Canis lupus familiaris: one gene and its partners. The protein of the gene in region 1 interacts with the protein of each later gene in a pairwise test. Links are inferred from orthologs where the notes say so. Each region holds a gene or a part of one and is shown in the gene's direction. Other genes may lie near its edges. The genes, in order: PNKP, TRIM37 and ZNF639.

Region 1 (9,835 bases):
TAACAGACAGAAACTGGATTTGTTTCTGCCGATGACCAGGCAGATAACCAAGGGGGAGGGTGTTTGAGGCAGAGGGAATAATTCCAGAAGCCCTGAGGCTTTTGAGGGACCGGCCGATGCAAGGAGTGGGGAGATGGTGGTGGTGGCACATGGGGTACAGCGGGGACCTGACTGGCCTGAGTCACTAACCTCATCCATAGGGCTCTTTGTAATGGACGAGGATGCCACACTCCAGGACCTGCCCCCCTTCTGTGAGTCGGACCCTGAGAGCACAGATGGTAAGTGTCCCAGGCTGTCCCCACTCCGCCACCCCCAGGGTGCTGGGATGAAGGCAAGGACAGAGGCTGAAGGCCATTGTCTCTCCCAGATGGCAGCCTGAGCGAGGAGACCCCTGCTGGCCCCCCCGCCTACTCCGTGCCCCCGGCCTCAGCCCTGCCCACACAGCAGTATGCCAAGTCCCTGCCTGTGTCCGTGCCCGTCTGGGCCTTCAAGGAGAAGAGGCCAGAAGCACGGTCATCGGATGAAGAGAATGGGCCGGTGAGGGGCAGAAGGGAGAAAAAGAGGAGGGTGCAGGGAGGGACTCAGAGCCACTTCCTCCAGGAAGCCCTCTGGCATGGAAGCCACATTTCCTGGGCTTGATCTTGCCCTCCACCTCAGGAGGCAGATTTTTGGGCCAGAGCCCTAAAGCTTGAACTACTGCAGCCTTACAGTGTACCCCAGTGCCATGGAGAAAAGCCTCTTCTGGGTTTTAGGAACAGCTTCATTTATAGAATACCTGCTCCTGGCAAGGCACAGGTGTTTTGGTATCCCCTTCAGAAGGGGAAACTGAGGCACAGAGGGGTTAGGTCATCTTCTGTCCCCACCCTGCGTGTTCCTGGCTCCTCCCCTACCTCCTCTTTCTCTGGCACAATCCTTCAGGTGGCTTTCCTGGCCTGGCCTGGGTGGCTCCTCCTCACCCAGCGCTGAACTTCCCTGAGGCACCGGGAGTATCTGTGACTTCCCGGGACCTCAGCTTGGAAAGGGCAGAGCTGGGATTGGAACCCAGCCTCCTTTTGGAAAGGAGTTACAGACTGCAAGGGAGGCAGCCCTGGAGTCCCATGGTCATCGTGTGTCTCTCTCCCCCGCGCGCCCCTGCCCCCCCCCCCCCCCCCCCCCCCCCGTGTCCTCTTTGACACATTGGCAGCATCCATCTGCCGTCTGCCTGTATTGCCAGTTAACAACATCTGAGGCCTGAGAGGTGGGGGCGCTGGTCTGACCTCTGAACCGGCTCAGGTCCAGCCTCTGTCCGTGTGGCCTCTCCCATTCTCCTGGAGGCTAGGCCCAGCTCAAGGTGTGGGGCCAAAAGGGAGATTGCCCTAATTGCTGGAGCAGACAGAATGACAGGGCCCCTCCTGGGTGGAGGCCATCGTGAAACCAGGCCCCTTCCCTATAGCGCTGGCAACGTGGTAGCTCACACTTCTTGAGCACTCACTGTGCTGATTGTCTCAGGCGCTGTCATCAGCTGCGCGTTTTAAAGGGGAGACTGAAGCCTCAGGAGATGAAATGCTTGTTGACAGCTAGTCATTGGCAGAGGCTGGATTGTTACATGACTCAATGCCAAGCCCAACCCACATCCTTAGACATGACACCCCCTGGTATCTAGCCTTGATAGCAGAGAAACAGCACTTCCACTGTGTAAGAAGGAACTGAAGGATAGTGGGACGGTTAGCTGTTCTTGCACGTAGAGTTAGGCCAAGAAGGGAAGGAAGAGAGGGCCAGGAAGGCTTCTTGGAGGAGGTGGTATTTGGGTTGGTTAGAAGGATCCTACAAGGAGCAAGATAGGGTAAAGGGCCTTCCTGGCAGTAGGCAAAAAGTGCTGGGGCGGGGCCGCGGCGGGCGCTGACCCCGCCCCGGTCTCGCAGCCCTCTTCGCCGGACCTGGACCGCATCGCGGCGAGCATGCGCGCGCTGGTGCTGCGGGAGGCCGAGGACACCCAGGTCTTCGGGGACCTGCCGCGGCCGCGGCTCAACACCAGCGACTTCCAGAAGCTGAAGCGGAAATACTGAGGCCCAGGGAGAGCGCTTCCAGGCCCAGCGTCCGCCCCGCCCCACACTACACCCCTGCCCCGCCCCTGGGCCCGGCCAATCCGAGTCAGACCCGGGACCGGCTTCTCAGGTTCCCGGGGTCCCAGGATTGCCCCTTCCCCGCCAATTCCCGCCGTCCTTCCAGCCCACGACCCCCTCTCGCGCCGAGGAGCGGGACCTATCTAGTTTCCGGATTGGGTCTGTCGCTGCATTTTTTTTGCCCAGCGACAGATTCTTTCGATTAAGGGATTGGCTCGCTCCCGGACCGGGGCGTGGCTAGTTTTAAGCCCTCATAAGGGTCAACTGTCGTTTTCGCCCAGTGACCAGAGCTTCGCTCGCGCGGCATTGGTTGAAAAAGAACAGCCAAGCCACAGGATTGGGGAGTGGTAAGCCACTACAGCCTAGAGAGTAGGCAACTTCATTTGATTGGCTTGAACGCAAAGGGCTTGACCAATCTCCCGGAGTCGCCAGCCCACCCTTCCTAGTTTGTCCCACCTGATAGGCTCCAGCCCTCTGGGGGCGTGGCCAAACCCTCCTAACCCCAGGATTGGCCTGCGGCCTTAAATTTACGTTCTTTACACTACTGGGACTGGGGTCGCTTTTGACCGAGTCCTGACTATGTGCCCCTCTACCCTCTCCCAGGGATGGCCCAATCCTGTCCCTGCGTCTGACACCCTCTTCGGTTCCATCCCACAACAGCCTGCCAATCGTAGTCCGTCCTTGCAGTCAGGACGGCACCAGCTCCCGCCCCTCTCCCTCCACCCCCACAGGTGCCTTAAAGGGCCCTTGTCCACCCGAGGTGGGGGGCAGGGGCCCTCGCTCTCCGGCCCTTGTGTGGGGAAGAGAGTCGTGGGTGGGGATCGGGAGTTGGGAGCGGTGGTCTGAGATTAAAAGAGTTTTACCTCTGACAAATGAGTATAGAGTGTGTTCATTCAACACTTTGAAGCCGAATGAGCAGCACCTAGTTGACTTTCAGTGTAAAGTTGGGAGTTGGAATTACTGTTCCCATTTTGCAGATAAGAGATTCATGGGGTTGTAGGGGGAGATTCCAGTTCTGTGTGACCACTGATCCCCGATCTTTGGGGGGGATGAGTGTTGGAATGTGGTCTTCAAAGCATCAGTGTTTGGAATCCACTCAGTCTCGACAGCCAGAAGCGACCAACTGAGGCCAGAAGTTTTCTGCCTAATATAAGACAGCTGAAAGTTAGAGAACAAATGGCACCTGGTCCGAAGTCTGGCTGGGCCAAGTAAACCTGGAATCTTCCTCTCCCATCAGACCACCACCTGGGACATGCTAGCAATAGACAAGACTTAAACAGAACTGCCAATCAACCACTTTTATAAGACTAGTTCCATCTAGTAACTCTTCCTAGTAACCCCATGAAGGGGAAACGATTATTCTCACTTTAAAGATGAGAAAATTGCAGTATTGAAGGTCAGGGCTGCTGTCAGGGGTGGACATTTCTTGGACTGATGATCTTCAAATGAAAAAGAAGTGTGTCCCGCTGTAACTAAGGGAATGAAATGTTAAAAGAGTTCCAGGTGGAAAGAGGAAAATCTGTGAAAGAGGACCCACACCCCCTACTGGTCGGAGCCTCCCACTGCTGGAGGAGAGAGGAAGGTCAGAGCCGCCGAGGGCCCGAAGGAGCAGGTGGTCTGAGAAGGGGCGGGGCTTCCGTCGTGGGCGGAGCCAAAGCCCTGCGCCCTGCCCCCTTCCGTAGGCGAGTCATTTCCGTCCGCCGAGGAACAGAGAAAGCCGCCGGCGAGTTGTGGGCAGAGCGCCTCGGGCAGGAGTTCCCTGGTCGCAAGTGGGAAGTGAGTCCCGGTCCGGTACGGTGATTGCGGGGCCGAGCTGGGGGCGGGCGCGAGGTTCTTGGCTTTTGCCCTGGAATGTCCCGGTCGGGACTCTCCGCGGGACTGAGCGGGGCGTCGTCGCCCGGGAAACGGCGCGAGCCAGAGGCCGGCGAGGGGGTGGGATTTCCGGAGCCCTAAGCGGAAGAAGGGAGAGTCCTGGTGGAGGGGCGGGGGGAGGCGGGACTTGCTGTAGCAGTTTGAGGGCGTTCTGCCACTCAAACCTGTTTACTTCCCCTTAGGCTGGCTCCTGGGATGGCCGAGGTGGAGACCCAGGGCCGCCTGTGGCTGGAGAGCCCCCCCGGGGGAGCCCCCCCCATCTTCCTGCCCTCGGACGGGCAAGCCCTTGTCCTGGGCCGGGGACCCTTGACCCAGGTTACCGACCGGAAGTGCTCCAGAAACCAAGGTGGGCGGGGCCGTAGCTGTAGGGATTGTGGCTCGCTCTGGAGCGTGAACGTGCTCTGCGGGAATGGTGGGCAGCCGGTGCAGTAAGGGAGCTGCTTGGCCGCCAGGCGAGATTGCGTGGTGTAGCTCGTCCTGCAGTTAGGTGCCCTCGGGGGAGCATAAGAAGAGAACTGCTGTGCCTGGTCTGGAACTAGCCAGACCCCTTAGTGGGGAGACAGTTGTCAGAGGACGATGCTCACAGGAAGGCTTAAGTCAGGTCATGACCCTTGCCAAGGAGAGAGCCGATGCTACGGTGAGAAGTAGCGGTTGCTAAGCAGGGCGAGGTGGTAACGAGCGTAGCCCAGGACCTGCACCCAGTCACACGCCTCATCAAGGAGAAATCAGTTCTGTACAGAAGAATGCCTCCTGCCGCTGGGCGAGGACCGGCGTCACAGGCTATTCTGAGGCCTCTCTCTGACTACTGCATGTAAAGAGAGAGCCGACCCCATTTAGAAATAAAGTGCTTTCCCGTCCCGAATGGCCTGAATGTCCCCATCCTGTGGCCTGAAGCTGGCCAAGCTCCCCAGTAGTGAGGAAGGCCGTCGCACAAGGATGCACATTCTCACTCCACCCTCTCAACCCTCAGTGGAGCTGGTCGCAAACCCCAGGACCAGGACCGTGGCAGTGAAACAGGTACCAGTTGCTCAGCAAGGCGCAGCGAGGCCTGGGGGAGGAATGGCAGCCCAGCAGGGAACAGGCTCATTGGAAAAACCCGGTTTGAGGGAAGGGGACGTGGCCAGCAGAGAAGGTTCGGGGTATTGCCATTTTCAACGCGTATCCATCCACGTTTGAATTGGGTTAAGGCTGGACCACAGTAACTCTTCCACGTCCCTGATTGGTGGTACGCAGTGAGGAGGCGGGGCTTAAGGGTCTGATTGGCAGGTGGGGGAAGGCTGTCCTTCCTCTAATTCGTGGAGGTTCCGGTTGGGGGCCGGAGCCAATCCCGGCTCCTCCTCCTCCTCCTCCTCCTTTTCTCTCTCTGTCTCTCTCTGTCTCTCTCTGCAGCTGGGAATTAACCCCTCAACTGCTGGGACCCAGGAGCTGAGTCCGGGATCAGAAGGTTCTCTGAGGGTGGGGGACACGCTGTACTTGGTCAACGGCCTCCACCCGCTAACCCTGCGCTGGGAAGAGGCCCGCACGCCTGTATCCCAGCAAGACACTCCACCCGGCACCCCTCCCGTGGCTCCCCATGAGGCAGAGGCTGTTGAGCCACAGAAAAAACGCATGCGGAAGTCATCCCCGGGCTGGGAGAATTTCGAGAAGCTGCTAGTATTTACAGCACCGGGGGTGAAGCCTCGGAGCAAGGTGAGAGCCAAGCTGAGGGAGCCACACGGAGTTGGGGCTGAATGATGTGTGCTGTGTGCCCCTGGGCCATTCAACCTCTCTTAGCTGCCACTTTTTTGAGAAGTGGATCTGATGACAAGTTCAGAGGGTGTTGTAAGCCCTGGGGGCATCGATGTATGTCAGCTCCTGCTTGAGCCCCAGAAAGCACAGTAGTGAACACCATCATTTTCACAGGGACCCAGAGACCTGACCTCACAGTTCCCCCCCATCCCCCCCGCCCCCCAGTCCCCTGTAAAGTAATAAACCCAGAAAAGCGCATGGCTCAGTCCTCTACATGTGGTTTGCACCCAACTTCACTCCTGTATTCATTTTCACTGTTATTAGCCTGAAGTGAAGGCCAGGGGAGGTGGGTGAGTATGACGTGAACCCCATTTTAAAGGCTGGCATACCCAGGGGCATAGGAGAAATAGGAGATGGTACAGTGAAGATCTCGGGCTCTGCACTCAGGTGGTAGGGACACATTCTTCCTGTGCCTTCCCCTAAACGTAAGATGTGTAGGCTGTGACTCAGTTTCCCATTTAGTGACGGGCAAGTGGTAATGTCTCTACGTTGCAGAGGTGACGTGATGTAGCCTGTGAGTCGAGATCAGAGGCATAACAGGGTCGCTGTTCCTCTTTTCTTGCTGACATCAGGTGGCTGGCTTTGATTTGGACGGGACCCTCATCACCACACGCTCTGGGAAAGTCTTTCCCACCGGCCCCACCGACTGGAGGTGATAAGAGGCAGACCAAGGGGGTGAGTGAGGCCCCCGTGGGCCCCAGGTCACCTACCTGCTTTCCCACCCACCCTAGGATCTTATACCTGGAGATTCCACGTAAGCTCCGGGAGCTGGATGCCGAAGGCTACAAGGTATGTGTGCTTTTGTGCATGGAGACCAGGCCACAGGGAGGCTGGGGCCCCACTGAGAAGGGCACCAGGTGACATCCATGCTTCCCCCCCCCAGCTGGTGATCTTCACCAACCAGATGGCCATTGGGCGCGGGAAGCTGCCGGCAGAGGAGTTCAAGGCTAAAGTGGAGGCTGTGGTGGAGAAACTGGGCCTCCCCTTTCAGGTATGGCTGCAAGGGAGCTTGAGTCATAGAGGTTGGGGGACAGGGACCCAGACAGAGGCAGGGACAGAGTTAGTGTCACGGTGTCAGACCGTGACAGAGAGGAGGGAACAGAGACCCAGGGAGAAGGCATACGTACCAGAAGGCAGTGGAGGCCCCCCGGCAGGGTTATGCTGGTAGAAACCCATCATAAATGGGTTCTTGGGCATCTGGAGTCCTCTGGGTTGGTGAAGGGGTAGCATCCCTGGCACCCATGCACCCTCGAAGGATTTGGGGAAGGAGCCCAGGAGGGTGTCTGACCTTCACCCACAGGTGCTGGTGGCCACACACGCCGGCTTGTACCGGAAGCCAGTGATCGGCATGTGGGACCATCTGCGGGAACAGGTGAGTGGTGGCCTCCCAGTAGCTCCCTTCTTCCCTCACTCAGCCCAGCCTCCCCCTGCCACAGGTCTCTGCTGTTTGGCCACCTCCTCTCTCCTCTTCTCATCTCATTCCCTGGTCCTTGCCTCCTTTTCCACCAGTCCCAGTCTAGGTACAGGCGGACAGCACTCTTCAACTCTGAAGATCAGGATGGTCCAGGGACACATCAGTTGTCCATGTATTCTCTTGTGTGTGCCTTTGTTCTGAAGCTCAACAGCTTCTTGAGCTGAATTTGTTAGCGTATGAGACAGACCTGCTGGGGCTCACATACCAGCGAGGGTGCAGACTAGAGGTGCACAGACTGGGTGTGAAATGGTGGGAGTGAAGTGAGGTGAGGCAGGGTTTACCTACAGGGGTTAGGTAGGCCTCTCCAAGGTGCCCTTGTAATTATGAAGCTAGTGAGGGAGGGAGCCTCGCAGGGGAACCTAGGAAGAGCTTCCAGGTGGGAGTAACAGCATGTGTAAAGCACATGTAAAGGTCCCGAGGCAGGGCTATGACTAGTGTGTTCAGGGACAGTGAAGAGGCCTGGGTAGCAGGACCTGAATGGATGATGGGGTAAGGGTGGGGCGTAGGGTCAGAGATCGGGCAGGTGTCAGATCGTGAGGCCTTGTGGGTAAGGTAAGGTCTTCCCTTTTACCCAGCCAGGGGGCAAAGGGATGGGGCCCAGGAGGGCTGGGAGGAGAGGAATCTACAGAAGTGGGAACTGACACCCCCCTGGTGGCTGTGTAGGGAACAGACGCAATGGGGATGGAACAGTGAAGGGGGGTAGGAAGTGGCCCAGCAGTGGCAGCGCCACCAGGATATGATGCTGAACTGGGGCAGGAGAGGCCAGACGTGCCACCAGGATATGATGCTGAACTGGGGCAGGAGAGGCCAGACGTCAGGCCCAGCTCAGCATCCTCGCAACCCCCATTAGTATTCTAGGGGAGCAGGCATGGGAGTGGGTGGGTTCCTTACTGCCTGTTGTCACCTGTCCCTCCCTAGGGCAACGAAGGTGTGCCTGTCTCCATCGGGGACAGCATGTTCGTGGGAGGTAAGGACCCAGGGATGGGGAGTGTGTGGATCCCCTCGGCTGGGCCGCTGGTGGACATGGAGCTGTCTTCTGTCCCAGATGCAGCTGGACGACCAGCCAACTGGGCCCCTGGCCGAAAGAAGAAAGACTTCTCTTGTGCAGACCGTCTGGTGAGGCTCCTTTCCCCTGCTGGCCTGGAGCTGTGTCCCCACCTTATCTGATGTCTGTGTCCCCTGTCGTCCCCTCCCCGCCAGTTTGCTCTCAACCTTGGCCTGCCCTTCGCCACACCAGAGGAGTTCTTTCTCAAGTGGCCCGTTGCCAACTTCGTGCTCCCCACCTTTGACCCGGTGAGGCCTTCGGGGTGGGAGTGGGAGTCGGGAGAGGAGGAGAGGGTCTTGCTCATCACTACCACCCCTCCCAGAGAACCGTCTCCCCCTCGGGGCCGCTTTGCCTCCCGGAGTCCAGCTCCCTCTTGAGCCACGACCCTGAAGTGGTTGTCGCCGTGGGATTTCCTGGGGGTGAGACACCTTGACCCCTTGACCTCAGAAGCCCCAGTCCAGCTCTGGGTCCTTGGGCCCCCACTGACCTTGCCCCTGCCTCACAGCTGGCAAGTCCACCTTCCTCCAAGAGCATCTTGTGTCAGCAGGATACGTGCACGTGAACAGGGTGAGACAGGCCCCCCCCCAATGTGCCCAGGCTGAGCGCAGAGTCCCTGATCCTTCCATCTTCTGTGCCCATTCCCTACCCCACCTAGGTTCTCCCTAGGTGTCTGCTTCCCTTGTTTCTCCTGCCCTCTCCCACTCAGGGTCTGTCACCTTGTATCCCCCAGGACACCCTGGGCTCATGGCAGCGCTGCGTGACCACGTGTGAGAATGCTCTAAAGCAGAGGAAACGGGTTGTGATTGACAACACAAACCCAGACCCTCCGACCCGGGCCAGGTACTGGGCTCCCATGGGCAGCCTCTATAGGGTGGGCTCAGCACCCCTTACCAGCCTGGCCCCTTCCTGGCCCCAACAGGTACATTAAGTGTGCCCGAGACGCAGGTGTGCCCTGCCGCTGCTTCCTCTTCAGCACCACCCTGGAGCATGCACGCCACAATAACCGGGTAAGCTGGCCCCTGCCCCTGCCGTCCCGACCGCCTCCAGGCCCCCAATTCCCAGACCTAACCCCAACCCCCACCCCCTGCAGTTCCGAGAGATGACGGGCTCCTCTCACGCCCCCGTGTCCGATGTGGTCATGTATGGCTACAGGTAAACACAGAAGCCTAGTGGGGAGGTGAGGAGGTGGGGGGTGGACCGGACCCCAGCTGGGTCTCACCTTCCCCCATCACCCCTGCTGCCAGAAAGCAGTTCGAGGCCCCGACCCTGGCAGAAGGATTTTCGGCAATCCTGGAAATCCCGTTCCGGCTGAACCTGGAGCCTCGGCTTGAACGGCTCTACTGCCAGTTCTCAGAGGGCTGAGCTGCGCATCCCCACCCCCCCCGCCCCCGCCCCCGCCCCTGCCCCTGCCCCTGCCCCCAATAAATTGTTTTTTTTTTTTTTTTAAGCTTGGACAGCATCATGCTGAAAGAAGGGTAGTCTACCCAGTGAGGACAGGCACCCGGGCGAGTCCCCGGGGACGGGGGAGCACAGACCTGCCGGCCTCCCAGGCCT
Region 2 (9,224 bases), on another chromosome or scaffold:
CATACTTTTCATTGACTTATTATTTTAATAGTAATATGATATGAATATGATTGTGAGCTCGGTTTTGAGGAATGTGTTTATTTGATAATTTCTTTTTTTTTTGCAACTATCTTCCTTCACTCTATAGTGTCCTCAAGTTTTATGCATGTTGTAGCATATGTCAGAGTTTAATTCCTTCTTAAAGCTGATTTATATTCCATCACGTATATGTATCACATTTTGTTTATTTGTACATCTGTTGATGGACATTTGGATTGCTTCCACTTTGGGGCTTACTATGCATAATGTTTCTATGATCATGGGTGTGCATCTCTTCTAGACCTGCCTTCAGTTTTTTTGAATATATACCTTGGAAATGATATTGTTGGATTATATGGTAATTGTGTTTTTAATATTTTGGGGTATAGTTGGCAAATAAAATTGTAAGATACTTGAAGTGTACAGTGTGATGATAGACATATGTATGTATTGTGAAAAGATTCCATTGAGTTAATTAACACATTCATCATCTCACATGATTACCTTTGGAATATGTTTATGTTAAAAAATAGTCTTAAATTTCTGAATTAGAATATATATACATATTTTTTCTCCAGTGCTCCACTCCAGCTAAGAGAACTAGTGAACTGTCGTTGGGCAGAAGAAGTAACACAGCAACTTGATACTCTTCAACTCTGCAGTCTCACCAAACATGAAGAAAATGAAAAGGACAAGTATGCCCTCAGTTTTTTTGTTCAAATATTTCATAGATATTGCCATATGTTACTTTAATGATACTATTGAAAGTTTCTTTTTCAGTTTATAGATGAACATTTAAGTATTTTTCTTCTGGCATGGTATGGGTATCACTGTTTTGAAAGACGCTTCTAATTCTTGATTGGCTGCTTTTATGAGAGCCTCTCATAAAAGGAGTGAAACTGCTAATGTTTGCTAATCTCTCTTTGCTCTTTTTTTTTTTTTTTTTTTTTTTTTAAGAATTTTATTATTCATAAGAGACATAGGCAGGGACATAGGCAGAGGGAGAAGCAGGCTCCCAGTAGGGAGCCCGATGTGGGACTTGATCCTAGTAGAAGCTCAACTGCTGAGCCACCCAGGCGTCCCTCTCTTTGTCTTGTTACCTCTTGGTCCCTTTTTCCTTGGTTTGCTGAAGGTGCATATATGCCATTGATAAAGAATTGTTCCGATAAATTTCCTATATTATAAAAGGGGTGTTCTAAATTTGGTAGTGTGGAATCATGCTAATTGAGCTTCCAGATAGTATCTAACATGCTGATTTTTTTACACTTTTATTTCCATTTGGTATTCAGATTACTTGCAAATGAAAAATATAAAATGTAGACCTATTGATGCATTTAAGTTCAGGGTACTTTATTAGTGAGAAGCTTTTGTTTTATGATTTATTTATTTGGGATAGAGGGAGCATGCAGGAGGAACAGCAGAGGGAGAGGGAAAAACAGAGAAGCAGACTCCCTGATAAGTGTGGAGCCTGACATGGGGCTCAATCTCTCACCCCTGAGATCATGACCTGAGCCAAAATCAAGAGTCAGATGCTCAACCAACTGAGCCAGAGGTGCCCCTAGTGAAAAGCTTTTTAGGAAATGCAACTATGGGGAAGCCTGCGTGGCTCAGTGGTTTAGTGTCTGCCTTTGGCTCAGGGCGTGATCCCGGGATCAAGTCCCACATCAGGCTCCCTAGGGAGCCTGCTTCACCCTTTGCTTGTGTCTCTGTCTCTCTCTGTGTCTCTCATGAGTAAGTAAATCAAATATATATTTTTTAAAGAAATGCAACAGTGTGTCTCTTTAATAGGCAACCAAAAACTTAAAAAATTTTTAACTATAGTAAAATACGCTTTATATAAAATTTACTTCTTAACCATTTGTAAGGATACACTTTAGTAGTGTTAAATATATTCATATTGTATACCAATCTCCAGAACTTTTTCATCTTGCAAATCTGAAACTCTCTACCCATTAAACAATAATTACCCATTTCTCGGGATCCCTGGGTGGCGCAGCGGTTTGGCGCCTGCCTTTGGCCCAGGGCGCGATCCTGAAGACCCGGGATCGAATCCCACGTCGGGCTCCCGGTGCATGGAGCCTGCTTCTCCCTCTGCCTGTGTCTCTGCCTCTCTCTCTCTCTCTGTGACTATCATAAATAAATAAAAATTAAAAAAAAAAAATAATTACCCATTTCTCCTTCTACCAACCTTGGCAGCCACCATTTTATTTCCTGCTTCTTCTAGAAGTTTGACTGCTCTAGATTACTCATACAAGTGAAATCGTACAGTGTTTGTCTTTTTGCTACTATTCCTTGATTTTGCATAATGTAGTTTATATTAGAATTTTATTCCTTTTAAAGGATAATTAATATTCCATTGTGTATGTGTATCACATTTTGTTTATCTGTTCATCTATTCATGGACATTTGGATTGCTTCCACTTTTGGGCTATTGTAAATAATGCTACTGTGACCATAGGTATTCATCTTTTCTAGACCTTGCCTTCAATTTTTTCTTTTTAAGATTTTTAAGTGATCTCTACACCACAACATGGGGCTCAAGATCAAGACTTGTACGCTCTGCTCTATTGGTTAAGCCAGCCAGGCATCCATTTTTTTGGAAATACAACCAGCAGTGATATTGCTGAATTATATGGAATTCTGTTTTTAATATTTTGAAGAACTTCCATACTGTTTTCCATGGCAACTGCATCATGTTACATTCCCACCAACAGTGTACAGGATTCCAATTTCTCCATCTTTGCCCTAGGTAGCCATCCTAATGAGTATGAGGAAATATCTTGTGGTTTTGATTTACATTTATCTGATGATTAGGATGTTGAACATCTCTTTGTAATGCTTATTGATTATATGCACATCTTTGGGGAAAAATGTTAAGTCATTTGCCCATATATATTTTTAAAAGATTTTATTTACTTATTCATGAGAGACACAGATAAGCAGAGACATAGAGGGAGAAGTAGGTTCCTCGCAGGGAGCCCAATGCAAGACTCTATCCCCAGACTGGGATCGCGCCCTGAGCTGAAGTCCACGCTCAACCACTGAGCCATCCAGGCATCCCAATTTGCCTGTATTTTAATCAAGTTTTTTTTTTTCTTTTGTTGAGTTGTAAGAGTTCTTTATTTTGGATATTAACTCTTTATCGATACATGCTTTGCAAATAGTCTTTTTTTTTTTTTTTGCAAATACAGTCTTATTCCATAGATTGCCCTTCCAATCTGTTTATTGTGTCCTTTGATGTACAGAAGTTTTAATTTTTTTTTAAGATTTTATTTATTTATTCATGAGAGACACACAGAAAGGCAGAGACACAGGCAGAAGGGGAAGCAGGCTCCATGCAGGGAGCCTGATGCAGGACTCGATCCCAGGACTCCAGGATCATGCCCTGGGCCAAAGGCAGGCGCTAAACCGCTGAGCCACCCAGGGATCCCCTCAGAAGTTTTAATTTTGTAAAAAAGATCTGTATTTTAGAGAGAGTGCACAAGTGAGGGGAGGCAGATGAGACAGACAGACAGACTCACTCTTATACAGACTTCACACTCCAGCATTGTGCTGGATCTCATGACAATGAGATCACAAACTGAGCTGAAACCAAGAGTTGGATGCTTAACTGACCGTGCCACCCAGGCACCCTCAGTTTTAAATTTTGATGTAGTTCATTTTATTTATTTTTGTCTCTCTTGCAGGTGCTTTTGGTGTCAGTAAGAAGTAATTTTGAAATTCAGTATCATAAAGCTTTTCCTCTATGTTTTCTTCTAAGAGCTACATAGTTTTAGATCTTTTATCTATTTTAAGTTAAATTTTGCATGTTAAAAGCTAATGGTTTTTGTCTGCTAGGGCTGCCATAACAATATCACAGACTGGGTGGCTTACATAATACATTTATTTTCTCATAATATTGGGCTTGGAAGTTTAAGGTCAAGGTATTAACGACTTGGTTTCTGGTGAGGCCTTTTTCTTTGACATGGTGGGGTTCCTCCTTGCTGTGTCTTCACAGGGCCTCTTCTCTGTGTGTGAAACTTCTGGTATCTTCCTCTTCTCGGACTGATACCAGTTTTGTTCGGTTAGGATTCCACCTTTAGGACCTCATTTAACCTTCTTTACCTCCTTAAAGACCCTATCTCCAAGTACATTTATATTGGGCTTCAACATAGGAATTTGGGGAGGATGCAATTCAGTTTATAACCAGGTCCAAATTAATGTTTTACACGTGGATATCCATTTTAAGGGGAAATTCATTTTTTAAAATTGAAGTGCTCATTTCTCATGAGAGTATGATATTATGTGTGTGTCTTGATTGTTAGCATTGGCCACATGTGGGACAAATATTTTTATATGTATATGTGTTCATGTAGGTATGGACTCGTGATTTGTTTATAAGATAGAACTTACAGTGATGCTAGGAAATGATGCTATATTTACACTTTATTTAGAAATTAATCTGGGCAGCCCCAGTGGCCCAGCGGTTTAGCACCGCCTTTGGCCCGAGGTGTGATCCTGGAGACCTGGGATCGAGTCCCACGTTGGCCTCCCTGCATGGAACCTGCTTCTCCCTCTGCCTGTGTCTCTGCCTCTCTCTCTCTCTCTCTCTCTCTCTCTGTATCTGTCATGAATAAATATTTTAAAAAATAAAAAAAATTAATCTGCATTTGTCACAATTGTATAGAGTCTTTATAAATTAATGAAAACAATAGTTTAAAAGATTTTGTGTTCACATATGATTTTTTTTAGCTTATAGAAGCATGGAATGCATTTTATATTGTTTCCTGAGTTATAATCTGTTTAAAATTAACTTGTTTTCTAAACTTAGGAATTTATTCAGTAATTATCATATAATTTTAATTAATTTAAGCTATATTTTCTTTTCATAATATATAGATGTGAAAATCACCATGAAAAGCTTAGTGTATTTTGCTGGACTTGTAAGAAGTGTATCTGCCATCAGTGTGCACTTTGGGGAGGAATGGTGAGCAGAAAAAATTTAGCATATTACTTTTAGCTAGAGACTGGAAAGCACCAAAATACTTGTTAGATTTAGATAGAAAATATTATTTTACTCTGCTTATAGATTGAAATTTAAATGCATCTGATTTGTAGCAGAAGGTATCACATACACCATAAACTTCTTTTGTGGGAGATATAGATTTGGAATGTGCATTGCTTACATAAATACATTATTTTAGTTGGAAAAATAGAAAATGTATATTTGTAAATCTTTTATTGTAGGATCAAAGTCTTATTTCTGATTAAAGGACAGTTGATCTGATGTCCTGGCCACAATTTCCAGATTCAGTTTCAAATGAAACAATTTTAGATATTTGTGAAACAATATGAACGCAAACATCTTGATCTTATGGGTTTTTTTTTCTTTTTTCCAGTTTAATTCAAAAGTAGTTTTTAAGGCATTGTACCTTTTATCAAGTCTAAAACACTCAAGTCAGTTTTCCTGTAAACAGCCTTTGTTTCACAGTTTCACTGTTTAATTAATATTTAAATTGTATACCTATGTACTAGGTGCAATTCATGTAAATAGGCTTGAGAACAAACCCAATAGGTTTTTGGTGGGGAGAGTTAGTTGTAGTGGGAGCAGAAGTTGCTAGACAACTAGACATAGCTGTTAGCAATAAGAATTGATCATTCTTGGGGTACCTGGGTGGCTCAGTTGGTTAAGTGTCAGATTTCTGATCTTAGCTCAGGTCATGAGTTCAGACTGAGTTGGAACCTACTTAAAAAAAGAAAAGAATTGATCATTTTTTGGGTATCAGCATATTTCAGGGAGAGAATGACAGGCAACATGGTTCAGTAGAGCTCATTTTAGAGAGTTTTCTGCTAGGATTTGAGTACTAATGTTCTGAGTAGAAAAAACTGAATTCTTACAATTTAGTACTTAATTAAATATGTGGATTTAGTAAGAAGCAATGGGAACATTCTTTTCTATATTTTAAGTGGACATACAAAAATCTACATCTTTTTTATTTTAGAGACCATGGTTGGGTGCTTTTGTTAAACAAGACAATGCTAAGAACTTACCTGTTAATAGTAAGGTTTTGTGGTTTTTTTTGTTTTAGGCTTTATTCATTTTAGAGAGAGTGGGCACAAGTGGGAAGGGCAGAGGGAGTGGGAGAGACAATCCCAGGCAGACCCCACGCTGAGCACAGAACCCAGTGTGGGGCTCAATCTCGTGACCCCAAGATCATGATCTGTGCAGAAATCAAGAGTTGGACACTCAAACAACTGAGCTACCTAGCAGAAGGAGTTAATTTTGCAAAGGCCTAGTGAAAAGAAATTTGAAAACATGAAAAAGGGTAGTTAGTGCTGACCAAGAAGAGAGTGGCAAATAAAGTTGTGTCAGATGGTTTGAGCCATGGTTAAAGATTTTGGTTCTTTCTAAGGAATACAGATTTCTAGATGAGTGTAAATGTTTTCCTGAAATTCTTTATCTGTAATCATTAAGGATTTCCTATATGGGCCAAGTGATCTTGAGAAAGCTCTTGTGGATTTTAACAAAGTAGACAGCCAAAAAAAAATTCATTTGAAAATATTTACTAGTTTCTTAGTATCCACGAAGTGTTAATAAAGAAGTATGAGTGGTTGAGGTAAAAAAAAATGTTCTAAAACTATTCTTAATTTAAATAGCATGGTGGACATACCTTTAAACCTTTGGCAGAAATTTATGAACAGCATGTTACTAAAGTGAATGAAGAAGTGGCTAAACTTCGTCGGCGTCTCATGGAACTGATCAGCTTAGTTCAAGAAGTGGTAAGACTACGACTGAAAGATCATTATCCATTGTATAGTCTATCTTATGTAATATATGTATTTTTACAATACAAATAAATTAATCGAGATTAATCTCGATCGATAATCGAGATTATCGAGATTTAAAAATTTGAGAAGATATATTTATAGTCAGTTTCACCAACTTCAAACTAGCTGAGGAATTTGCATCCAAACCCCTGGCCTGTTCCACATTTGGAACCAGAAAATTGCCTTTTCTTATGCAGAAACAGAAAATCTGTGAATGAGTTAAATAAGCCTGTTTGATATAGTCCATAATCGACTTGTAAATAGTATTGACTTTTACAAAGTCATTGAGTCATTCTTTGGACCCTCAGCTTTTGGGAGAGTTTCTGCTACCAATGAATGAACTATTTCTGATGTCTTGAAGTAGAACTCTACAGAATTGCAAGAGTGATATTTAACACTACTCTTCAGATACTTTATAGGTCAAACAGATTTGGTTGAGTTATTTACCACTTATTATTTATATGGGGAAATGTGATACAAGTTTCAAACATTTAAGTACTGAATATACTTTTTTTTTCTTTCTTTTAAGATTTTATTCATTTATTCATGAGAGACAGAGAGGCAGAGACATAGGCAAAGGGCGTAGCAGGTTCCCTACATGGAGCCCAAGGCAGGACTAGATCGCTGGATGGGGGATCATGCCCTGAGTCGAAGGCAGATGCTCAGCCACTGAGCCACCCAGGCGTCCCCTGAATATACTTTTGGAATTGCTGGAATGCCAGTTGTAGCTAGTGAGGTTTGGGGCCTTTTCTGATTTAAGATATCTTTACTTAACCCTTTCAGGAATCAAGATTCAAAGCATTATTTTATAACATTTTTTTTTATACAAAAAGTTTCTGAGTTGCGTATATGCTACCTACAAAGTAATCTTGGAATATAAATAACTTGAATGTCTTCTCTTTGGACTTCATCTAACTCCTCTTTTTTTACTGTTATTTTCTCTTGGCAACTTAATTTGATCTTTAGGGAGCATGTCCTAACTTTGAAATTCTCACTGCTTATATTTCTAATAAGCATAGGAAAGATTACTTTTTATTTTTAGTGGTATGCTTTAAGAGTCTGCAATGTGTTCTGTAATCTTTGAAAATCCTGGTTTTTTTTTTTTTTCTTTTTCTTTCTCTGTTCTAAAAAATGTTTTAAACTTTGTAAACTAGAGTACATACAGTGTTTGAAATTTTTCATTTGTTTTAGTTTTACATGATGTGAACCTGGCATCAGTATACTTTTTTCTTTTTGAATAGTGGTTTTTTTATCAGATATGATTGGGGCTTTGAGTATTTGTTTTGTATATGGTATTTGAACCAGAATTTTGTAATTACGTATCTTTCACTGTTAAAAGAGCCTGTACTTTATTGTTTTGTTTACTTTTAAGAATTTTGTTCCTGCTTCATTTCAGTGCACGATTTTTTAAAGCAGTGAGTTGCCTATGATATATAAACAATTTAAAAGTATGATTGTATTACAATTTTTAAAGAGGAAATCAGCTTACTTTAAGAATAATTGCAGTGATTGTGTTATGTCTGTTTGCTTCTGTTTTAAAAATTCAATTTTTTTTTTACCTGTTTATCTTCTAGGAACGAAATGTAGAAGCTGTTAGAAATGCAAAAGATGAGCGTGTTCGGGAAATTAGGAATGCAGTGGAGATGATGATTGCACGATTAGACACACAGCTAAAGAATAAGCTCATAACACTAATGGGTGAGTGTTTTTCTATGCTGTTGTAATATGTGGTGCTTTGAGCCTCCTTGAAGTTCCATCTTGAAAGGGTAAAGGTTGGTGAGTTGTTATAGGCTAGGAAAAGATGGCCTTTGAAAGTAAAAGTTCCACCTGTTAAATGTCCCTCTGAATCAAATAACGTTACACATAATTAATATAACTCCCATTAACCCCATGGATATGTATGCTTCTAGTTCTTTAGGCTAGTGATTTACAATGAAAATGGCCTGGTTCAGCAGCCATGGCTTCCTTGTCATCATCTTTTTTTTTTTTTTTTTCTCCCGACATCTAAAGCAGTTTCTTCCTTCTCTATAGTAATTCTGTACAGTAATACAGAATTACTAGTAATACAGAATTCTCTATAGTAATAATAAATTATTATTATGTTCTTTATTCTTGTGTGTTTCTAGTTTCTTGAGACTATTCCTGTTTGGGCTTTTTGTTTTGTTTTTGTCTTTGCCTTTTTTTTTTTTTTTTTTTTACAGATTCTTATGTTTAAAGAACATACCATTTGTTGACATGTAGTGTAACATTTGGCCAACTTACTGTATTTCTTTTTAAGCCACATTTAAATTCTGGGAAAGAAGTACTTCAGAAGAGTTGATTTGAGTAAAAAATGTACTCTTTTATATATGTTTGTATTCTTTTAGAAAAAGCAGTAATAGTTTCCTTAGAGAATATAT
Region 3 (10,012 bases), on another chromosome or scaffold:
TCTCTCTGAGTCTCTCATGAATAAATAAATAAAATATTTTTAGAAAGAAAGAAAGAAAAAAGAAAGAAAGAAAGAAAGAAAGAAAGAAAGAAAGAAAGAAAGAAAGAAAGGAAGAAAGAAAGGAAGAAAGAAAGAAGGTGGTCTATATAAGACACTGCTAAGCAGAGAGGTGGAGCAGACTGGAATTCAAGGTCTGTGGAAAAACAATATGATAAACAGAATGAAGCCAATTTTTGTGAGGACAGAAGCTTATGCGAATTGGGAGAATTAAATTGTAAGAAAAAGAATACTAAATTATAAATACAAAATTTTATTTAAATACAAAATTATACAAGAATATCAGATTATAAATACCTCATCTTAGAAAAGGTTCATGCAATTGAGGGGACTTGAAGCCTATACTTTGTTTCATTCACAGTAAATTCATGTCTGATGATAGGTAGACCAATGTACCAAAAATACTGTGGAGTCTCTAAAGAGTGATCAGAGATCTCTGCCAGGAAAAATCAAAGATTTCACAGAAGAGACAAATAAATAAGAGATAAATCTCTTATCAAGAGATCTTGATAAGATCAAGAGCTTGATCTTACAGACAGAAGCAAGGTAAATAAATTACAGGTGGAATAAACATGCTGAATGAAACACACAGGTGAGAATAGAGCCTATCTATGGAATAGTAAGAAGTGCTATTTGGCTAATGTAGGGTTGGGCAGGGAAAGCCTTAGGATAGTGACTCTCGAAGTGTGATCCTGGGGCAACAACATCAGCATTTTTCAACTCCAGCCCAGATTTATCCAATTAGAAACTGGGACCGGTGCACAGATAGAGAACTGCTGGTGATTCTAATGCAGTTAAATTTGAAAACCAATGCCTTAGGAAGTTAATTGAGCAGCAGATGAAGCTGTCCTTACAAATTTAATTTCAGGCTGTTATACAAGATAGAAATGAGGGGGGAAAAGGATTATGACAGAAAGAGAATGGGTTCTCTTTCTCACACCTCAAAATAAATTACAAATAAGCTAAAAAGTTAAAGTAAAAAATTCAACCATATATTGGGTTAGAAGAAAAGATTATTTCAGCATAAGGTGAATAATAGACTCTGTAAAGGAAAAGATTAATAGACTCGATTTCACAATTCAAAACATATCATTAACAAAATTGAAAAGTAAACAAACTAGAAAGAAATATATGGAACATTTATCTCAGGTAAAAAGCTAAAAATTTTAGCTTTCCTTAAAAAGATTAACAGCCTGTAGAAAAAACAAAGGACATTCCCTGAAAATTCTCAAGGGAAATACAAACGACCAATAAACACATGAGAAAACATTCAAGTTCACAAAAACAAATACAAATTAAAATAGAATACTATATTTTATTTACCAAATTAGCAGACCATGGTTTAAAGATAGAAACAACTGTATGGTTGCTTATAGTGGAATTCCAAGGTGCCATTAACATTAATAGCATAAAATATATTCAGGCGATAATAAGGGGCTGTTTTTTTTTTTAATTTTTAAAACAAATTCTGAATGAATGGATATAGATTTAAAAAAAAATAGGGATCCCTGGGTGGCGCAGCGGTTTAGCGCCTGCCTTTGGCCCAGGGCGCGATCCTGGAGACCTGGGATCGAATCCCACGTCGGGTTCCCGGTGCATGGAGCCTGCTTCTCCCTCCTCCTGTGTCTCTGCCTCTCTCTCTCTCTCTCTCTCTCTGTGTGACTATCATAAAAAAAAATAATAATAATAATAATGTGCAGCTCTTGGGCAAAATGCTACCATTGGTTAGCTCTGGGTTGTAGGATTATAACTTTTTCTTTTGCTATTTGTACTTTGATATTGTCTCCATTATGTGATAAAGACGTATCCCTATTCTAAGAAAAAATTAAACTAGGGATGCCTGGGTGGCTCAGTGGTTGAGCGTCTGCCTTCTGCTCAGGGATCCAGTCCCACATCCCGCTCCCTGCAGGGAACCTGCTTCTCCCTCTGCCTATGTCTCTGCCTCTCTCTGTGTCTGTCATGAATAAATAAATAAAATCTTTTTAAAAATTAAGCTACACTATAAGTGTGGCTTTAAAAAAAAAAGTTGGAGAAAATGATGATTCAAGGGGCACCTGGGTGGCTCAGTTGTTTGAGCGTCCGCCTTTGGCTCAGGTCATGATCCCAGCATCCTGGATTCTGCCCCAGGTGGGGACTCGCTGCTCCTCGGGGAGTCTGCTTCTCCTTCCTCCTGCTCTTGCACTCTTTCTCTCCCTCTCAAATAAATAAATACAATCTTTCTTTAAAAAATGATTCAATACCCCTTTGGCCAAAATTATATTAGAAGATAGCAAACTCTACAACTCCGTACTCTCTTTTGAGATTTTAGGGTTTCATCCGTGCAGCCACCACCGTCCCTTAAAAGGAAGGAAAGGAAGAGACGGATGCAAAAATGAAACTGGGAAATGTACTCCAGCTAATCAAAATAGCCTCTGACCTGTGATTATGCTAAAGGACAAGTAAGCATTGTGATGCTCTTCTCATTTATTTCTCTGGGAAGGGAAGATAGGGTGGGTTGGTTTGTTAATTCAAGTAATGTGCTGGGCTGGGGGAGGGGGCGTGTTTGCTCTTACAGCAGAATGTTTTTAAATAAAACTTCAGCCTAGAATGTAAAGATTTTGGCAGGAGGCTACGGATGAGCAACACAGTAACTCAAAATGATCCCATACCACCCCCTTGTGGCTTCCACTGTGTCACATCGGGGAACAGCCCAACCAGCTAAGCATGCATAGCGTTCTTCATAAATTCAACAAACACGTGTCCATTCCCTACTCGGTGGCAGGTACTAACTATACTAGAATTTTAAAATGCCACTAAATCTCTTGTACTTCATCCAGGCCATGCCAGCATTCGTGAATATTCACTTCTTCGGGCTGAGTACACACGCAGAAGTTGAGGTCATAAAGACTGAGCATCGCAAATTGGTGTCTCTTTAAAATGTGGCTTTACCTTCTGGGCTAGAGGTGAAGGTATGGGAGTAAGGTCTGTGATTATTGCTCTCCAGGGTGTGGTTGGTTGGGTAGCATGCGGTGATCAGAAAAGCCACCGCGGATGTGGATGAAAAGACATCGATTGCAGCCCCTACTCTCAAAGTGACCTTGAGCACGTGATAACCCGCATGGGCCTCCTTCATCTACTTAACAATTATTTGAACCCGGGCGCTGAGGGTACAAAGATGAATAAGACCTAGTCGGTTTAGCGCCGCCTTCAGCCCAGGGCGTGATCCTGGAGTCCCAGGATCGAGTCCCACGTCGGGCTCCCCGCATGGAGCCTGCTTCTTCCTCTGCCTGTGTCTCTGCCTCTCTCTTTCTCTGTGTCTCTTGTGGATAAATAAATAAAATCTTAAAAAAAAAAAAAAAGATCTAGTCTTTAGACCCTCGCTTTTCTAATGTGTTAACTGGGACTGACAACTTCAATTCACTATCAGAGATCAAACATATGACCACACTTCGACAGGCATCTTCATTTCTGAAACCGTGTTCACAGGTTCCCGTATGCTTGTTCAATTTAATCCTCTCCACCTCTGCTCATAGGAGCTCAAAAATCCGAAAAGGAACGAAATCATCTAACCGAATCCCCTATAAGTTCACATTCATTCCACCGGGATTCGTGGAACCAAGGAAGCCCTAATAATGACTCGCGATCCTCAAGCTTTCCAGCCTCCTGCCCTTGGGCACGGCGCTCGCAGCCCAGCGTCGTTCTTTGGTGGGGCCTCGGGGAAAACCCTGAACCCGCCGTCGCCTTTCCGTGCCCGGCAGGCGGCTGCCACTCTGCGGGCGGAGCTGCCCTCGGCCGGGCCTCCCCGTGCAAGGCCACTGTCGCGCGCCCCCTGGAGGAGCAGCCGGGTGGGAAAGGGGCCGCGAGCTGCAGCGCTATCCCGCTCCTCGGGCGGCGGGGCGGGGGCGGGGGCGGGGGCGGGGGCGAGTTCCGTCCGCGGCCTCGCCCGGAGCGGTTCTAGGAAGTGGAGTCACCCGCCGGGCTCCGGAGGGACGGGACCCCGCCCGGAAGAAGCCCGCGGCGGCGCACAGGTGCCGGCAGGGGGCGCAGGCCGCCGAGCCACCCCCGGGGCTCCCGCCGGTGGTCCCTCCCAGGTCCGCTGTGCAGCGTGGCCGCGCCGCCGCGCCCCGGCCCCCCGCCCCCGGCCCCTCCCCGCGCAGTCGGCGGGCCCCTGAGGTGCGCGGCGCAGGCGCGGAGCGAGGCGGTGAGTGCGGCCGGCGAGCCTGGGCCTGGGGCCTGGCGGGCAGGGCGAGAGGCGCGCGGAGGGACGGGGGCCGCCCGGGAGCGCCCGGGAGCGCGAGGGCCGGCGGCCCCTCCGCCCACGCCCGGGCGCCGCCGCGGCTGGGCGGGTCGGGCGGGCCCCGCGGTCGCAGGGAGCGTGCGGCGCAGCCTCCCGCGGGAGAGGCCGGCGCAGGCCCGACGGCGTCCTTTAAAATGAGACCCTGCCTCGGCTTTCGGGCGGGATGGCGGCGCCCCGCGGGCCGAGGCAGCCGCGACCCGCTCCCCGCACGCGCGCGCACGCGGAGGACGCCTCGGGCCTCCGCCCGCCGCCCTCCTGCTGGCTGCTTTGGGGTCGCCTAGGCGGCCCGTGGGCCCGGCGCGTGGCCGGCGGCTCCTGCACGGACGCCCCTCGGCGGCCCGCGGCGCCTGGGCTCGGGACCGCGGGTGCCCGGCTGGCCCGGCCGGAGCCCTGGGCCCTCCTCGCGGTGCTCAGACGCCCCTTCTGGTTTCTTTCCTTTTTTTTTTTTTTTTTTTTTTTTTTTTTCAGTACAACCTAGGGACGCGAGTAGTTTGAAGCAGTTCATCTCATTGCAGAGAGGTAAAAAACGTGTCCTTTGGCAATGCTGACACTGGAGTCGGACGTACCGTGGGCTCTGGTTCAAGACCTCTCCTGAAACGTTTTTGCGTTTGTTATTTTTTTAAAGATTTTATTTATTTATGCATGAGAATACACAGATTGGAGAGAGAGGAGAGAGGCAGGCTCCATGCGGGGAGCCCGGCGTGGGACTCAACCCGGGGTCTCCAGGGTCACGCCCTGGGCCGAAGGCGGCGCTAAACCGCTGAGCCACCCGGGCTGCCCATGTTTCTGTTATTTTAAACTCTGGAGAGCATATACTTATCTTGAAATGAGGGTGAAAAAGAACTTGCTTTGAAAACCTTATTGGAAAGATGAAGCTTTTGATTGTAAATACTTGGTTTATTTTTGTACCACTTAGAGAATATTTGTATTACGTGAAAGGCTGTTGATCTCTTTGGTGAAGATACTGACTGCCTGTTTTGTGGCATTTTGCACGTTGTTGGGGGGAAAAAAATGACAGGTGGAGAGATGCCAATATGTATTTTGTAAGTTGCTTTTTGAAAAAAAGTAGTACTGCATGTGGCATGGTGTCATTTTTGTAAATGTGAAATATATATGGATACCTTGGCATAGGAAACTGTCTAAATGTCTATCAAAATGTTAGCAGTGGTTTTTCTGCGTGAATAGATTCGAGGTGATTGAATTACTTTCTAACCTCTCTCCTCATTTTCCTGCAGTGACATGTATTCTATGTGTAATTTATTATATGTGCTGCCAAAGCGAGGACTTCTATGTGTAATTCATTAAGTGGGGAAAAGGAAGTGAATGATTAGGTCCATGAGATTCAGAATCTTCCCCATGAGAGGAAGACCAGTGAGCAAAATGTTCATATGACATCTTTTAGTAAAAAGCCAAACTTCTTCATCAGGGCAGTTATGTATACAAAAAGCACGTAAGAATATGTGCTGAAATGAAGGATAGTATTTCTGGTCTTGAGTAGGCATATTAGCATTCATGCTAAAAGGAAGTCTGATAAATATTTGGATATTGTTCGGCCTCACGTCGTAGTCAGAGCTTCCCTGATCAAGGTGATCCTGTCCTGTTCCTCTCATCCGACAGTCTGAATCCAGGCCAGCTTGCAATGTTAATTCTAATGCTATACTTGCTTTCCTTTCCTTACTTTTTCATTCTTCAAGTTGGAAAGAATTTAAAGTGTATTCTGAAATAGCAAGAGGTTACTTTAATGTTTGGCTGACAGTTTTCATTGTTCTCCCTGATAGTTTTAGAACATTTAAAACATGAAGTGTAGCGCTCTGGGCTGTATAAATTCTAGAGGTGTGCAGAAGAGGTATTAGGAATAAGTCTTGAAGTTTTAGTTTATTATATAATAAGAAAATTTTTATTTTCTTAATGCACTTGATTGGGAAGGGTTTAAGGAATGCTATTTGTGTTCAGGTGAGCCTTTATATAGAGAGAGACTATTTCTATAAATCCACTGTTGTTGGTTTCTTTGGGTGATTCCCTTCCCTTTCTCCCAATTGGTGGTGGAATAAGAACTGGAAGATGTAACTTGCTGGTAATAGTGATTAGCAATGAAAATTACACAGAGTTGTTCGAAACTCGAGTCAGAAGACAGGCTTTTTCAGTTCTGTTCTGCCGCTTAGTTGACTGGACTTTCACTGAATCTGCTTCCTCATCTGTGAAATTGGAGTGAGTTTGATAGTAGCCCCTCAATGTACCTCACAGGATTGTTGTGAAGATCAAATAAAATAAGAGGAAAATGCCCAATAAACTAAAAAGCACTATCTTATTACTGCATGATCACATCACCTATAGTGCTAATTAATATAGCCAGAACTTAGTGAAGTAGCAAAAACAGTGTGTGCACCTGAAGTTCCTTACCATTAAAAACAAGATGAGCTCAGTAATGATACCAAGTTATACCTGCCATGTATATTACTTTGACAGTAAGAAAAGCAGCATATAATGCTAGTGGAGAAAACATGTTTCTTTTTCTGACATCCCTTACTTGCCCACTTCTGTGAAAGAACACTAGCCTGAAATGGAAGAGGAGATGTTGATTCTGACACTAAGTTGTTACTTGAATTGGAGTAATCTCTTTATCTCCCTATTTGTTTCCAAAGTATATGCTTTAAAAATAGATCTTTATTCAGTTCTAACCCTACCACTTATTAAGAATTGCCTTGACTTAATTTTACTATGCCTCAGTTTTCTCATCTGTAAAAGGTAAATAATTTTGAGAGGATATTGTATATTTTTCATGTTATAGGATTAAATAAGATAAAGTATGTGCACAGCCTGGCACATGATAGGTGTTAAATAAATGGTCATTGTTCTTATATTGTTAAATAACCTATAAGGACTGAGTATAAAGTCTGATTTGGTTCACTTTCATTGTATTTGCTTTCATTATGGCTGAATAAATGAATCAGATTTATATTCCTATTTTGCTGTTAAATTATAGCTTAAGCTTTACAAAGTAAATTCATTTCAAAGAACAATGACACATGTATACACTCACATAGTTATCAGTTTTTAGTGCTTAATACGGTATATTCAAAAGATTATTTATACTTGAGTTAATTCCGTGTAACTTTCCAGTTAATTAAAGACCTGGTGCCATTGTATTTTTGAGTCTCAGAAGTGAGCTACATTTTTGCTTGTATGACTTCTGTTGTGTTTTTTTTTCTACAGGCATTTTTTACCATCTGTGAAAACTTCCTTGTAATTCATTTCTCCTCCCTACAGTATTAAGAATTATACCATGTAAGTGGAATGTGGAAAACCAATTAGTCAATTTTATAAGAGTCCATGGGAATCTAATCATTTAAAAATTAAACAAAAGTTGTTACCTGCTTTGTCCTAAATAGAATGTTGAATATGACCTTACAAGTAAGAAAAGTATTTTTTTTCTTGGAAATTATATTCTGAGCTTCTACGTGATGAATATATTTTCTGGAAGCCTGGGGATAGATACAGATTTGTGACAATATTTTTTAAGGAAATATATACACTTTTAGCTTGAAAACTGCATCAAAATACTCCCATTTATAAGAAATATACTTGTTTTATTCTTAAAAAGATGCCATAGCAGCAATTTTTTAAAATAAAAAATAAGAGTATAGCTTAGTGTAATTATCCAGTTCTCACAATTACATCAACATCTGAAGTGGACTTCTCAACGTCACCAAGAAAAAAAACAGATTTTGGTGTCCTGCCTTTAAACTTGATCAGAAAAAATAAACCTAAAATATAAATGGAGGCATTTCTCTTACAAAGTAGATTTTCAAGTGGCACACACATTTCTTATTACCAATAAATTCTTTGTTTAGGATGAATTTCTATAAAATATTAACAATATTCATTTGTGGTATTTTTGTTAAATTTTTCCATTTTTAGATTGAAAAGATATGAATGAATATCCTAAAAAAAGAAAAAGGAAGACATTACACCCTTCTCGTTACTCAGGTCAGTGATTATTTTAAAGCTGGACCCTGGATTAATTCCCATGCAATTGCATTTTTATCAATTTTCTCATAAATGATCAGATAACAGTTAAATATCTGGGTCAATTTTTAGGTAAGAGAAAACTTCAAGTTCTCTGAATGTATATTCATCTGTCTACCATGTGCTAGGTACACATCAGAACTTTACAGACATTATTTAATACTTAAAACTTAATGGTTGAAAGATACTTAAAAACAGATATCCAAAGTTCCACACTTACACAGCATAATTGGGATTTGTGTAATTCCAAGCTTGTTCTTAATGTACAGCATTAACCTTGATGGAAGATATTTGGATTATTGGGGAAATTTTTTTTTTTATCCTGTACATTATTTTCAGAAATATGAACTTTATTTTTATTGTGTTCCTTTGGGTCCTCTGGTTGAGGTTGGCCCTGCTATCTTGGCAGTAAGAAAGGTCTTTGACTTCACTCATATGTGGAATTTAAGAAACAAAACAGGAGTATAGGGGAAGAGAGGGAAAAATAAGACGAAATCAGAGATTTAAGAGACTCAATCACAGGAAACAAACAGGGTTGTTGGAGGGGAGGAGGGGCGGGGATGGGGTAACTTGGGTGATATACATTAAGGAGGGCACATGATGTAATGAATACTGGGTGTTATATAAGACTGATGAATCACTGAATTCTTCCTCTGAAACTAATAATATACTATATGTTAATTGATTTTAAATAAATTTTTTAAAAAGAAAATAAAGTATATGTTAGTGAAAAAAAAAGAGGTCTTAGTGGCCACCTATAACTAATCTCACATATATATATATTTAAGACAGTCTCTGGCATACCTGTTAGCCTACCCAAGCTACACATTCTTCGTATCTGAGGAAATCAAGCCTGGTTTACTGTCTGAGAGGGTCTGTATGCCTTTTGCTTTCTCTTCAGTACATGGCAGATCTTCTTGGTAGTCAATTCAATGTTTATAACTTATAGAATTCTGACAGGCAAATCTATCTTTGTGTGCTTCAAGTGCTATTTTGTAAATCGTGTAGTTTGTGGTTTTTTTCAAAGCTCAATGTCAATATCAAATCTGAAATATAGAAGCTTTCAGAAATGAGGGAAATATTAATACTTTATTACAAATTTGAAAGTGTATATGTTAAGGGATGGCTGTTATTAAATGTATATATATTTACTTGAAAGTTTTAAAATTTTGCTCTTATTTTCAGATTCCTCTGGAATAAGCAGGATTGCAGATGGATTCAATGGAATTTTTTCTGATCATTGTTATAGTGTTTGTTCTATGAGACAACCAGACTTAAAATATTTTGACAACAAAGGTATATATAATATTTTCCAAAATATCCTTTAAGTTGTATTTTTATATTCTTGAGAATGTGGGTAAAAGTTATGACTTCTAAATGGGCAAGTATTCAAATTTGTCTAAATGTAGGGAAATGAGGTTTTTATAAGAAAGCAAATATGAATGTTTAATTTTTAACATTATTTTAGACCTATAAATAAAAAAGCACAGTCTCCTAAGTCTATTTTAGGTGGCCAGGAATAAGTAGAAAATCAAGACTGACCTGGAGTTGGGAGCATATTTATGATGAAAGGTTAGGAACAGTGCTATACACAGTTCTTCCACTAAGGTATAGTCCAGAGGGCTAAATGGAAGGAACAAAGGATGAAGGGTT

What was found.
Region 2: the proteins of PNKP (region 1) and TRIM37 interact in binary tests that used the Homo sapiens proteins (3 or more experiments, as listed by UniProt). The two-hybrid records come from large-scale screens. The link is inferred for Canis lupus familiaris from reciprocal best matches to the Homo sapiens genes PNKP and TRIM37.
Region 3: the proteins of PNKP (region 1) and ZNF639 interact in binary tests that used the Homo sapiens proteins (3 or more experiments, as listed by UniProt). The two-hybrid records come from large-scale screens. The link is inferred for Canis lupus familiaris from reciprocal best matches to the Homo sapiens genes PNKP and ZNF639.

The regions. Positions count from the first base shown.
Region 1 is NC_049222.1:107,367,868-107,377,702, forward strand, and holds PNKP (bifunctional polynucleotide phosphatase/kinase), read left to right. Parts: upstream 1-3,733; 5' UTR 3,734-3,878; exon of another isoform or gene 3,879-3,893; intron 3,894-4,156; 5' UTR 4,157-4,169; coding exon 4,170-4,320; intron 4,321-4,944; coding exon 4,945-4,991; intron 4,992-5,363; coding exon 5,364-5,663; intron 5,664-6,334; coding exon 6,335-6,414; intron 6,415-6,493; coding exon 6,494-6,551; intron 6,552-6,645; coding exon 6,646-6,753; intron 6,754-7,062; coding exon 7,063-7,134; intron 7,135-8,154; coding exon 8,155-8,203; intron 8,204-8,281; coding exon 8,282-8,352; intron 8,353-8,436; coding exon 8,437-8,529; intron 8,530-8,603; coding exon 8,604-8,700; intron 8,701-8,786; coding exon 8,787-8,848; intron 8,849-9,011; coding exon 9,012-9,121; intron 9,122-9,200; coding exon 9,201-9,288; intron 9,289-9,371; coding exon 9,372-9,433; intron 9,434-9,525; coding exon 9,526-9,643; 3' UTR 9,644-9,682; downstream 9,683-9,835. Other genes in the region: AKT1S1 (proline-rich AKT1 substrate 1), read left to right, coding at 201-278, 368-537, 1,902-2,045. UniProt on the Homo sapiens protein: Plays a key role in the repair of DNA damage, functioning as part of both the non-homologous end-joining (NHEJ) and base excision repair (BER) pathways.
Region 2 is NC_049230.1:33,631,834-33,641,057, reverse strand, and holds part of TRIM37 (E3 ubiquitin-protein ligase TRIM37), read left to right. Parts: intron 1-596; coding exon 597-713; intron 714-4,896; coding exon 4,897-4,984; intron 4,985-6,654; coding exon 6,655-6,777; intron 6,778-8,399; coding exon 8,400-8,523; intron 8,524-9,224. UniProt on the Homo sapiens protein: E3 ubiquitin-protein ligase required to prevent centriole reduplication. Probably acts by ubiquitinating positive regulators of centriole reduplication.
Region 3 is NC_049255.1:12,933,626-12,943,637, forward strand, and holds the start of ZNF639 (zinc finger protein 639), read left to right. Parts: upstream 1-4,157; 5' UTR 4,158-4,237; intron 4,238-4,801; exon of another isoform or gene 4,802-4,852; intron 4,853-5,015; exon of another isoform or gene 5,016-5,376; intron 5,377-7,546; 5' UTR 7,547-7,618; intron 7,619-8,251; 5' UTR 8,252-8,262; coding exon 8,263-8,320; intron 8,321-9,544; coding exon 9,545-9,655; intron 9,656-10,012. UniProt on the Homo sapiens protein: Binds DNA and may function as a transcriptional repressor.